Linked DNA regions of Schizosaccharomyces pombe. The protein of the gene in region 2 interacts with the protein of the main gene of each other region in a pairwise test. Each region holds a gene or a part of one and is shown on either strand. Other genes may lie near its edges.

What was found.
Region 1: the proteins of nup45 (region 2) and SPOM_SPBC56F2.07C interact in a two-hybrid assay, tested with the Schizosaccharomyces pombe proteins (one large-scale study listed by BioGRID).

What each region holds. Positions count from the first base shown.
Region 1 is NC_003423.3:4,098,538-4,104,075, reverse strand, and holds SPOM_SPBC56F2.07C (ribosome biogenesis factor recycling AAA family ATPase), read right to left. Parts: upstream 3,539-5,538; 5' UTR 3,496-3,538; coding exon 1,066-3,495; 3' UTR 852-1,065; downstream 1-851. Other genes in the region: protein tam13, read left to right, coding at 317-604; puf1 (RNA-binding protein), read right to left, coding at 5,146-5,538. UniProt on the Schizosaccharomyces pombe protein: ATP-dependent chaperone which uses the energy provided by ATP hydrolysis to generate mechanical force to disassemble protein complexes.
Region 2 is NC_003424.3:750,379-756,513, reverse strand, and holds nup45 (nucleoporin Nup45), read left to right. Parts: upstream 1-3,108; 5' UTR 3,109-3,303; coding exon 3,304-3,358; intron 3,359-3,360; exon of another isoform or gene 3,361-3,434; coding exon 3,435-4,041; exon of another isoform or gene 4,042-4,084; coding exon 4,085-4,171; exon of another isoform or gene 4,172-4,217; coding exon 4,218-4,326; exon of another isoform or gene 4,327-4,382; coding exon 4,383-4,674; exon of another isoform or gene 4,675-4,713; coding exon 4,714-4,841; 3' UTR 4,842-4,867; downstream 4,868-6,135. Other genes in the region: protein cum1, read left to right, coding at 1,012-1,434; iss1 (fip1-like pre-mRNA polyadenylation factor), read right to left, coding at 1,684-2,527, 2,575-2,627, 2,673-2,810; serine/threonine protein kinase Ppk8, read right to left, coding at 4,926-6,135. UniProt on the Schizosaccharomyces pombe protein: Functions as a component of the nuclear pore complex (NPC).

The DNA.
Region 1 (5,538 bases), on a different chromosome or scaffold from region 2:
GATTTATATCGTAGCTTTTCAAACGTTTCAAGTTTATTGTTTACTTCGTTGCAGTATGTTGAATAGTGAATTTTATCGCTTTCTCAGATAAGTGGTTTCAAATAATTGGTATGAGATGGGTTACCCATAAATCACTTCATACTGAAATCATCGGCTACTTTTGACGAATTGGTGTTTGGGGAGTAACAAGAGTATTGTAGATACACATATATATATATATATGGGTGTCTAGCTCAGGATATCATCTTCTACAACGTTGCAAGACTGATAACTTACTAAACTTTGAATCTATCTGCCCTTAATTCCAACTTCCGTTATGCAGAACTTTATGAACAACTTGAGTGGTGGTAGCAACAAGGAGGGAGGCGAAAAGTCTAATGACTTTTTGAGCTCTGCTTTGGGTGCAGAAAAGCAAGTGAAACAGGCTCAGACCATGAAGAAAATCAGCGATATGTTTCCTGGTAGCACCAGCGAGAAACTTGCTATTTTGAACAAGATCAACAGTGCAAGTGGTGGTCGTGTTTTGGAAACTCTCGGTGAAATTGAAAACTCATCCTCCTCACAAGATGAAATTATCACCAAGTTGAAGGGTTTTTTGAAGTAGATGTCTGCAGCGGATAATCATGGGAGACGACTAAGACGAGGCCGTGCCTCTCCTTTTTTTCTAACAAAAGAAAGGCAAAACGTATGTATATCGTTAACTTTTCTGCACTGTATCGCCGATGTCACTTTCTGTGGACTATTTGTCGCTTCCATGTTACGTTAGTACATATCAATGTTTCTCTTTAAAAATAAATTGACGAGTTTTATGACTTTTTACATCTCTCAATATTTTTTTAGTGAAATGGTCTATTTTTTGTAATGCTGATAATGTGCAGTAGAAGTAAATTGAGCATAATGTATAATGTATTGTGAATTTCGTTCTGCAATCACTTGTAACATTTCTAGCTTTGTAAACACTCGAAGTTTATTAACCACACATGTCATCTACAATACACTAAAACCACAGAAAAAAAGTATTATATTAATAAACAATGAAACCCCTAATATCAATAATATTTTTTCTCAGGAAATGCTAGTAACACTTTCTGAAAACGATGCATAATACTCAAGCATATCTCGGGTTATGGCTTTCCGCAATGCCAATAATGCTGTTTTAAAGTGAGCTTGACATATTTCTTTCGCTTCCAAATCCTCGTGCATAGCTATCAGACCAGCTTCCTGACAAAGAGCCACGACTTCCGCTCCTGAGCATCCTTCCGTTTTTTCCGCAATCAAATCCAAGTCTACATCCTCTGCAAACTTCATTTTTTCAGCTTGTATCTTCACAATTTGCTTTCTTGCTTCAAAATTTGGTGGTCCAACGTAAAGCAAGCGATCCAAGCGACCTGGTCGCATAAGTGCCGGATCAATCATATCAGGGCGGTTTGTAGCAGCAAGCACAAGTACATTCCTAAGCGCTTCAATCCCATCTAATTCATTCAGTAAAGCTGCAACTACCCGGTCGCTACTATTGTCTTCTCCTCGATTCGCAGTCAAAGCATCTATTTCATCAAAAAATATAACTGATGGACTGGCTTGTCTTGCTTTTTGAAAAACTTGCCTAACGGCTCGTTCACTTTCACCAACGAACTTATCAAATAGTTCTGGTCCTTTGACAGCAATAAAATTCAATCCAGTCTCTGTTGCGATGGCTTTGGCCGTGATTGTTTTTGAACAACCAGGAGGCCCGTAAAGAAGTACGCCTTTCGGAGGTCGAACACCCAATCGTGAGAAGGTTTCGCCATGAGTTAAAGGCCATTCTACTGATTCTTTTAGTTTCTGTTTCACCTCTTCTTGTCCTCCAATATCTGACCAATGTACATTGGGCGATTCCATCATAAACTCTCTCATAGCACTTTGTCGGACAGACGATAAAGCAAACTCCAAATCGTCCATCTGCACCGCACCGAAAATGTCTAATCCCGAAGTGTCCTTTTGTAGTGAAATTGTCCTTTTTATAGCTCTTAAAGCAGCCTCACGAACAACAGCTGCTAGGTCTGCACCAACATAAGCGTGCGTTCGTGAGGCTAGATCTTCCAATTGAGCATCATTAATTTCATTAGGAACACCTGATAACAACAGTTTAATGATATCTAATCGGGCGCTTTTATCAGGAATACCGATTTCGATTTCTTTCTCTAAACGTCCGGGTCGTCGAAGTGCTTCATCAATAGAGTTAGGTCGGTTTGTAGCAGCAATAACAACAACTTTTCCGGCATTAGCCATTCCATCTAATAGAGTCAACAAAGTAGCAACAGCTCTACTCTCCGCTTCACTTACGTCCTCCGTTCGTTTGGGAGCCAGTGCGTCAATTTCGTCTATAAAAATGATTGAAGGTTGATGCGCCCGTGCGTCTTCAAATATTTTTCGAAGCCTAGACTCAGTTTCTCCAAGGTACTTTCCGACCACAGAAGGACCATCGATCGTAAACACTTGTGCATTTGCTTCTGCAGCAACAGCCCGCATAACCATCGTTTTGCCAGTACCTGGAGGACCATATAACAGAACACCCCGAGGAGGCATAATATTAAAAAACTTAAAAAGTTCGGGATTTTGAAACGGAAGTTCTACAATGTCACGAATTTGGGCGATTTGGGCTTGTAAACCACCAATCGACGAAAATGTTACTGCAGAAGGAGGACCGTCGAAGTTTTGAGTCTCTTCACTTCCTTGGTTGTATGCAGACTGAGTTCTGTCTTCATGAGGTAATTTTAATAAATCAGGTGTTTCAATTTCCATACTGGAAGCTGCCGTAAATTTGTAAATACGAGGCTCATCTAAAGACATATCAGAAATTGCTTCTATAAGGTTTGAAGGAGAACGAATGTGAATTTCTTTAACTTTATAAGAGCCGGGAGAAAGCTCATCGAGATCTTCTGTTGCTTTTGGTTCAGATTCATTCACGGAGGGAGAAGATTGAGAGGACCCTACTTCAGTACCCGATTGCGCAGATAAACCTGAATTTATTTCAAAAATTTCCGTAGCCATATTCTCTGAGCTGAGATTTTTGCTACCACTCTTTGCCATATTCATCGGTGATTCACCCATAACAATCATGCCTGGATGAAGATACCTTATTTCTAGCAATTCTTTCCTTATTAAGGACTCTGGTATAGGTTCATTATTGCTACTCAATGAAGCAACAATTTTGATTCCTTCAGCTTCTTTTAAAGGGTGTACATATTGTGAAATGTTAACTCGCTGGAAGGCCTTCAAGTTTGCCCATTTCGCCAATAAAGGACTAATTAATATTTCAAATGGACCTATTCCATTTCCCTTAACTGATTGGGTTATTCCAACAGCTTCACCGCCTTTATGTTTCAAATAAATTACTTGTGACGGAGAAAGCTTAAGACGATTCAAAGCAGCAGGACTTAAGAATACGTGTCGAGTTTGCTGCCTTCTTAAAGAGCCATCGTTTATTTTAACAGTGAACTTAATAGCCACAGACATTAAATTCCTAGTATGGAACAAAATTTAATTTTTGGTTTTTGTCAAGCCCTGTTTCATAAATACTGTACTACGTTCGGCTGTCCTAAATGTGTTCTTAATTACAAATAACTGAATATCAAATGTAAAAAGTTTTTGGAATTAACATTTAGTTAACAATGATTGTTTCTATTACGAGTTCTTTATTTTAATTTGAGAATCGATATTGAAACACTATAGTACCGTATGAAAAAACGAATAAATATCCAAATCACTAAAACTGAATTCGTGAATAAACTATATAATGCTAGAACGTTTTTTTTTGTCTTAGGAATTTGGTTAACTATTTGTGCATTTAGAATATCGTGTGTTTTTTGCTACAGCTAACTCCAGAAAAGGAAACATAGGAGTAGATCCCATTCTAACTTAGGTCACTTCACTTGTTCCAACAGAATAAACATATACTGCATTTCTATGTCAGTAATCATTAATTACAAGGATTGCTATCACATAAAACATTTGTTTATTGATATTGTGTCGAATCGAATTGTTATTTAAGGTTAGGTTGAAAAGGTACGTATATGAGAAACAAAATAATTATTTTTATTGTAAAGCTTTTTTTTTTTTAAAATTAAAACTTTTTTCTATGGCAAATTAAAAAACTCAAGCATTCGGAAGCTTAAAGAGTGCGTTAAATGAACGTTCCAATAAACTTAACATAACCCGAATAATCTCCCTGGATATAAATTCAATCAACGGTACAGTAATAATTATACAAACAAAAATAGGACTCCAAAAGAAAATAAAGGCATGGTAATAAAAAGACTCTGACTTCATGATTGAAATTGGCGAAGACAATCATTAGCTAAGATATAGTTGATTTTACTCAAAATTCACCAATCCAAAAAAATGAAGAAATCTTTTTCTAACCCGTAAACATCATCATAATTCTTTTTTTTTAGATTTTCCATAATAGAAGTTGTGGCATCTTCTGAAAAGAGAATGGTTTAGACCACAACGTTCATGCTTAATGTTTGATGAATGCATAAACATATTAGAATTAGAAAACAATAAGTGAAAACAAAACCCAATAAAGTTTATAAAATAACAGAATAAAAAATAAAAACAAAAATCTTCCGTGCATTTGCGTGGTCACGTTCGCGCCCGAAAGATATGAAATAAGTAGTAAATAAATTCCTTCATGGTTAAACGTATGGCAGAATTAAGAAATCAGCTTATACATATTAGAAATATAAAACCATCAAAGGGTAGATGAAATAACCAATTACTGGCAATGCATGGGTGGTATGCACTACTTAGTTGTAGACGATATCCAAACCATTCAAATGAAAAACACAAAGCGGCGAAAAAGTTTTCAATATTAATTAATTGGCAAAGAGCGTTTGCGTTAAGGAAATAATTTCAAAGAATGGAAAGGAATATGGCACAAGTAGTACTATATTCCCAAAAACATTACACTTAAGTATAATAGGAAAAACGATAAACAACATTAGCGAACAAAGAATGATTCGATAACAAAGGACATTAAAAAATGAAGCGAATACGTATTAATTCACAAACACAATAACAACCATGACGACAAATGTGAATATATACAAAGACATATAAAGCGAAGGGCACTTATGTCTAACGTCAGTATTTTTTAACGAAGGACTAATTGAAGCGCAATTCCCCTTGACGAGGGAACAACGATTGCTGAAGACGAGGGTAATTACCAGGGAACACCTGGGGAAGTTTAGATGATAGACGAGGTAAGCCATAGTCAGCTCCGGCGGTATGATTCATTAACTGGGTAGTGTAGGGATATGCAGGCATAGTTAATTTTCCGGCGGGAACCTCACGACGAAGTAAAGACGAAGATGGGTTGAGAAGAGAGGAGTTATTCAAACTCGCTGACTTTGCCAAAGTGGGATTTACAAGCGAAGAGGTATCTAAAACGGGAGCTCCAGACTTGATATCATCACTACGAGAAATTTGGTATAAATTACCCTTCAAGGGAAGAGAAGCAGTGCCCAGGGGTATGTGCGAAGGGTATGAAGGGTACGC
Region 2 (6,135 bases):
TTATAATTTCTCCAATAATATTCACTCCTGTTAAATATATCAAGTAGGTTGCATTCTGCGAATCTTTCGAGTAACTCAACTACAGTTGTTTAAGCCCAAAGATTAACACATTTGACATTAGAGAAAGTGTTTCAATTGCGTAGGTATAATTGATGAACTTATATTTCTGTCTTTTTGAAATCTACAGATACTTAAAATAGTAATTTCATATATAACTGTAAACTGCTAAACTAGTTTTCTTCTCGCCGATTAAATGTGTCGAGGCTGCTTATTCCATCTAATTAACATCTTACCATACACTCGATTTGAAAGGGTTCCTTTTATTATTGTTTATTCAGATGAAAATGGTTCATTCAGTTGATTATTTTATTGCTTTTGCTTCATTGCAACCACTTATAGCGGATTGCTTCGCATATCTATACCGCTCCTTACATGTGTTGTGATAGAGAGGTAAAGAATTTCAGACATCAATTGAAGCAACAAATTCCAATTTTAATACTTACATGATTTTGGCTTCAACTAGCTCGGGATGATATCCCATATTTTATGCCCGACACCGTTTGTCATCCGCTTAGTCGTGATACCCGTCTGCCACATAGCGAATGTCAAAGGATTATGCTACTTTACGTGAGAATGAAATATAGACTTTACACATCGCCACATGATGGCATCGATAGAGCTGCTAGTTTCAATTACTTTCAATTAACGAGTGAAAAGCGGATGTACCGCATCATCTGTTGAGCGAAATAGTCTACGTAAAATCAAATGGGCTAATTTGTCGCTGAATTAACCCAAAAGCAAAAATACGATTGCAATTCTCATTACGAAATGCTGAATGGGATGGAAAATAAATTGATGTCACAATTTCCGAGGACTCTTACAAATATTATATATAGAGCACGGGGTACATCACTATCGATTCGAATTTTCAAGAAGTAATATTTCGCACCGTAGTACTTTTTGTAAGCCGTTTTATTAAATCAGAAAGAACTCCAATTTTATTTATAAACAATGCCTGATCCTAATCGTGTTCTCGCTGGCAAGAAAGCCACCCTACACAATCCCAATGTATCACAACAAGCCAAAGAAAGAGCCGAAGACTATATAGAAAGTCATTCTTCCGGCCAAGAGACTGGTGATTATTCCGCTCAAGCTGGAGGCCGTGATCTTGATTATGAGGATCTCGGTGATTATGATGAGGATGCAGACTTTGACAACGAGGAGGGTCTAAATGTGTTGGGAGATGAGTCGGGTTTTGTTGATGATCCTATGAAAACAGGTGATTTGGTCGAAGAAGATCAACTTGAGGGCAAGAACATTGAAAATGTCCGAGGAGGTTATAAAGCTACTATGCATAATCCTAATGTATCCAAGCAAGCCAAAACCCGCGCCCAAAGAGCCCTTGAAGAAATTGATGATGAAACCCAAGCTTAATTGCTGCCCAGTTGATTACCCGTCATTGCTTTGATGTGTCTGAAGTATCTTCAGTTTTGATTTTATGTTGTTAATACAGAATTCCATAGTAATGATGAGTATACATGTTTATGATCTTATGAATATTATTTCATTCACCAGCTTTTAACTTTTGAAACCGTTGTCCTTGTAGAAGTAGTCGACACCCCATAGCATACAATTAAAACGATTCTCCTAAGATTTGCATACACAAACGTTATTGTATTTATCTTAATATCTGTTGCGTCGATATCGGCCGCCAGAACCTCTAGAGGAGTAGTTGGAGTATCTGTCCGGAGATGGTTTTCGCCTTGATGAGGAAGGATAGTTGCTACTGTGAGGATGGTTACTAGGAGGTCTTGAGGCATTATAGTTCGTAGAGGCTCCATTCCCATAACTCGATGTAGGATTATGAGTAGGTTGTGCATGCGTCATACCAGCACTCGATGTAATATTAGGGGAATTCGCTGGACTTTCACTTTCACGTCTAGAAGATGAAGGATTGTTATTTACATACGCATTAGGTGTAGCTGCACCTGAATGAACACCACCACCAGATGTATGTGTAGTATTATAGTTTGAAGATGCATGGACTGGAAAATTGCGCGAGTACCCCATATCCTCTTGTGGGCCTCCAATAGGCGGAGGAATAGGCATAAATGGAGGAAATCCAGAAGCCATCATAGCTTGAAACTCGGCAGGTGATGGTACGTTGCCAGAAGGTAAAGGACCCGGGATCTGAGCAAGACTTGCCATAAATTTTTGGGGGCTAAAGTCGTCACGCAAAGTCGTTTGTTTGGCACAGTAAGCAGCCCATGTAAATTCATCAAATCCATAGTTAAAATAATCTGAGATATCTGCACCAGGCTTGCGCCATGGTTTATCATCAAAAGACTCCAAATCAATCTCAAAAATGTTTTTACCATCAATTGTAGGAACAGCGTCAATGTCAACTTTAGGTGCAGTTTCTGCTGTCGATAAATCTTGGGGTTCTGTAGTTTTTACTTCGACAGCAGTTTTCTCTACTTGAGGTTTAGCAGAAGGTCGGGTTGAACCTAATGTTGCAATCGATCCACTAACATTATTAGTATAATCTGAAATCAATTATTTTGGTTTACATACCCTAATGGTTCTGCTCTTTCACCTGGCTTTGTTTCAATGATAAATTCAATATCCTACAAAATTAGCAGTTAGCAGTATCATTTTAATTGAAATCTTACTGAATCATCGCTTTCTTCACTTGCTTGCTCTGGTGACTTGGCATTTGACACTGTAACTCCATCATTCCGTTCCTCTATGGTTTCTCCATATAAATATTCATCCTCATCAACATCCATGTGCTGATCAGCATTTGACATAGTAAAAACCCACTTCTAAAATGTATATGGGGCAAGTCCATTCATTGACTGAGTCTCGCACCTGAAATTATGGATTCCTTCTTCTTTACCACTTAGGGCCATTAGTCCACTAAACATTGTACCGAGTTGTACGGTATATACTAGTGGACTTCATAGCGTACTTCATTTACCTGGGTAAAAATATTTTGCGCTAAAACGGGTTGAAACAGACCAACACTCGTGAAAGCCAACTTAGTGAGCCACATTGTAGTTAACACTAACAATTGAATTTGCTCTGCGAACACAGCAGTATTTGACTATACGATACCCTGAAAGCTAGTTCAATTTGAAACTTTAGATAACTAATCTTTTCCATCTTTGCTTAATTATAATATTAATCATTGATTGTGATTCTACAATTACCCTTTTTAGAAAAGATAACCTGAGTGGTTTTTCATGATAATCTTTGCATGGTATTTACACTAGGGACATTCGTGTATTAATACTTTAAGCAATGTTCGGGTTAAATAAAACACCCTCATTTGGGTCCACAGGAACCCAAAACCAAAGTATGTTTCTTTAGGTGAACAAGTCTTCAAGTTTACTTTTCGAATTTTGTGCTTATTCATATATTAACCTTTTCAGATACTGGTACTTCTGCAGGCACAGGACTTTTTTCTTCTAATACTTTTGGTAACAATACGCAGGCCAATACGCCCGCTTCGACTGGGTTTGGAGGCGTAACAGGAGGAGCTTTTGGTCAAACAAAACCTCAAACTGGTGGAAGCTTGTTTGGAAATAAGCCAAACGCTACATCTACTACCCCCGGCCTAAATTTGTTTGGACAAAACCCTCAAGCGGCACCTGGTGGCAGCCTGTTTGGAGCTTCCACTACTAAACCTCAAGCACCTGGTGGTTTGTTCAATCAGAATCAAACACAAGCACAACCTGCTCAAGCAGCCCCTACTGGAGGATTATTTGGATTATCTGGTCAAAATCAAACACAATCGCAAACACAGCCTGCTCAAGCAAATACTTCTCTTTTCGGACAGTCTAACATCGGAACTACAGGAGGTCTATTTGATCAAAACCGCCCTAATACTTCGACTTTTGGTCAATTTTCTACACAACCAGCTTCCGCTGGCCTTTTTGGTCAATCCACACAACCGTCTGGTTCAACTGGTTTTGGTTTAAGCAATAATACTCAAACTACTCCATTCTTTTCTGCAGCTCAGCAGCAACCGTCAACAACGTAAGTTAATTATTAAATTTTTTTTTCATTAACAAAAAAACAGGCAACTCCCTTCTAATCCAGCTATTAATGCAACGACGAGATACTCGAGCTTAAACGCTAATACTCAAAAATTTTTAGATGACTTAGAGTATGTGTTACCTTATGTACAAAATTTGTTCTAATCATGTCCGTAGCAAAGAAATTTTTAGCCAAATCCAACTTGCAGAGGAACTACAAACTAAGTTGGGGACTGTTTCCGAATTGGTTGAATCCGTCCCTAATGATGTCGCTGAAGTACAGAGAGTGAGTTATTTCCTTCTATTATCTCCAAGTTTTATTTGTTTCTAACTAAAATAAAGCGTTTATCTTCTGTCTCGACTGCACTTTTAATTGATTCCGACGAAATTGAAACTACGAAGCGTGTAGTTGACGAAGATACTTCGAATGCTCGCATTAGTTCACGTATTTTGGACGTTTTTAAAACACCTGGCGCAACCTATCCCTTCGCGTCAAACGATCCCCTAATGAACTACTTTGAGCAATTTACAGAAAACGCTAAGAAACGTACAGATCTGTATGCTGCCACTATTGGTGAACTTGAACAACATTTGGAGCAAGTTGAGACTACGCCACAGAATAATAGTCCCGAGGGTATGCCTTTAATTTGTAAAACTTGTATTAACTATCTAGCATTACTGAAAACTATCAAAGAGGAGCACAAATTATTCATGGCTCTTAGTAATAGATTTGCTCAAGTTCACGATGAAGTAAAGCGTCTACAAGTGAACACTTCAACGTCCTTGCCCTTTATAAGTTAATAGCGATCATTAAAGGGACTTCATAATCCTTAACATCATAAAAAAAATAAATAGATAAAAATCTCTAAAGTAGACAAATTCTCCTTAGATTAGAGTTTTCCGAACTTGTTGCATCCATGTAGTGCTTCGTGCTCCCGAAATGCTACATCTTGTATTAAAATCAATGTCCAGCATATGATAAATCGTATCTCTTGAGTTCATCGGTAAAGATTCTATCAATTGGCTTTTCGTGTTAGGGTCATTTCGTTGAGTAACGTATAAATTAAAACGTTTATCCGATGTATGCGGCACTTTCCATGGAAATCTCTTTAAAGCAATACAACAGTAAACAATTGCACAAGACCAAACATCTACAGCGCTCGGATCATATGGTTTCTGAGTAAGAACTTCGGGAGCAACATATGGTTTTGAACCGACTACACCATCAGACATCAGAGTGGTTGATTCAAATGGATAATGAAAAACAAAAGCAGTACCAAAATCAATAATCTTAACATTTAAATTTTCATCGAGCATAATATTATCTAATTTTATATCACGATGAGCAATGCCAAGGGAATGCATATAAGCCACGCCATCTAACAATTGAAAAAACATTTGATCAGCTTTTAAAGCAGAGCAATGACCTTTGGTAATAAAGGTAAAAAGATCATAAGGAACATACTCAATTATTTGTAAAATAGTATGCCTTTTGTATATAATGTCTAATACCTTGATGATATTGGGATGCCTGAGTGTCGACGCAAAAGTGTACTCTGCAATGAAATAACGTACATACCTGCGCAGTAATGAGGTATCTAATGGAGGACGAAATACTTTGGCAACGTAAATTGGCAATTTGTTTCGATCATTAATGACCCGAATGAAAGAGCTCGCTCCCTCCCCAATGACATTATTTAACTTTCCATAAGGTGTATCAGTTACGGAACATTCCGGGTTTACAACTCTCTTTCTTGATCTCGGGTTGATTCTCTTAAAGATGCTAGCATTGCTACCAGTTACTTTGTGTTTCAGCAATTTTCGAAGATCAGAAGTATGATTGTAGCAAGCAATAGGCGCCAGAGCGAAGCCGGAGTTCCGTTTTTTTATAAAATTGTCGTTTCCGTTCGGAAGGATATTAATTCTGATCTTCATCTTATCATACATGCTACTATAAAATGATTTAGACTTCTTTTTAAAGTGAAACTGAGGTGGGATATCGTTTGGATCAGAAGATGGATTTTTTCGATAAAGTCTGCTATATGGATTACCACCATTTATGCCATCATTAAGGGTAGCAAATTTCGATTCTGTG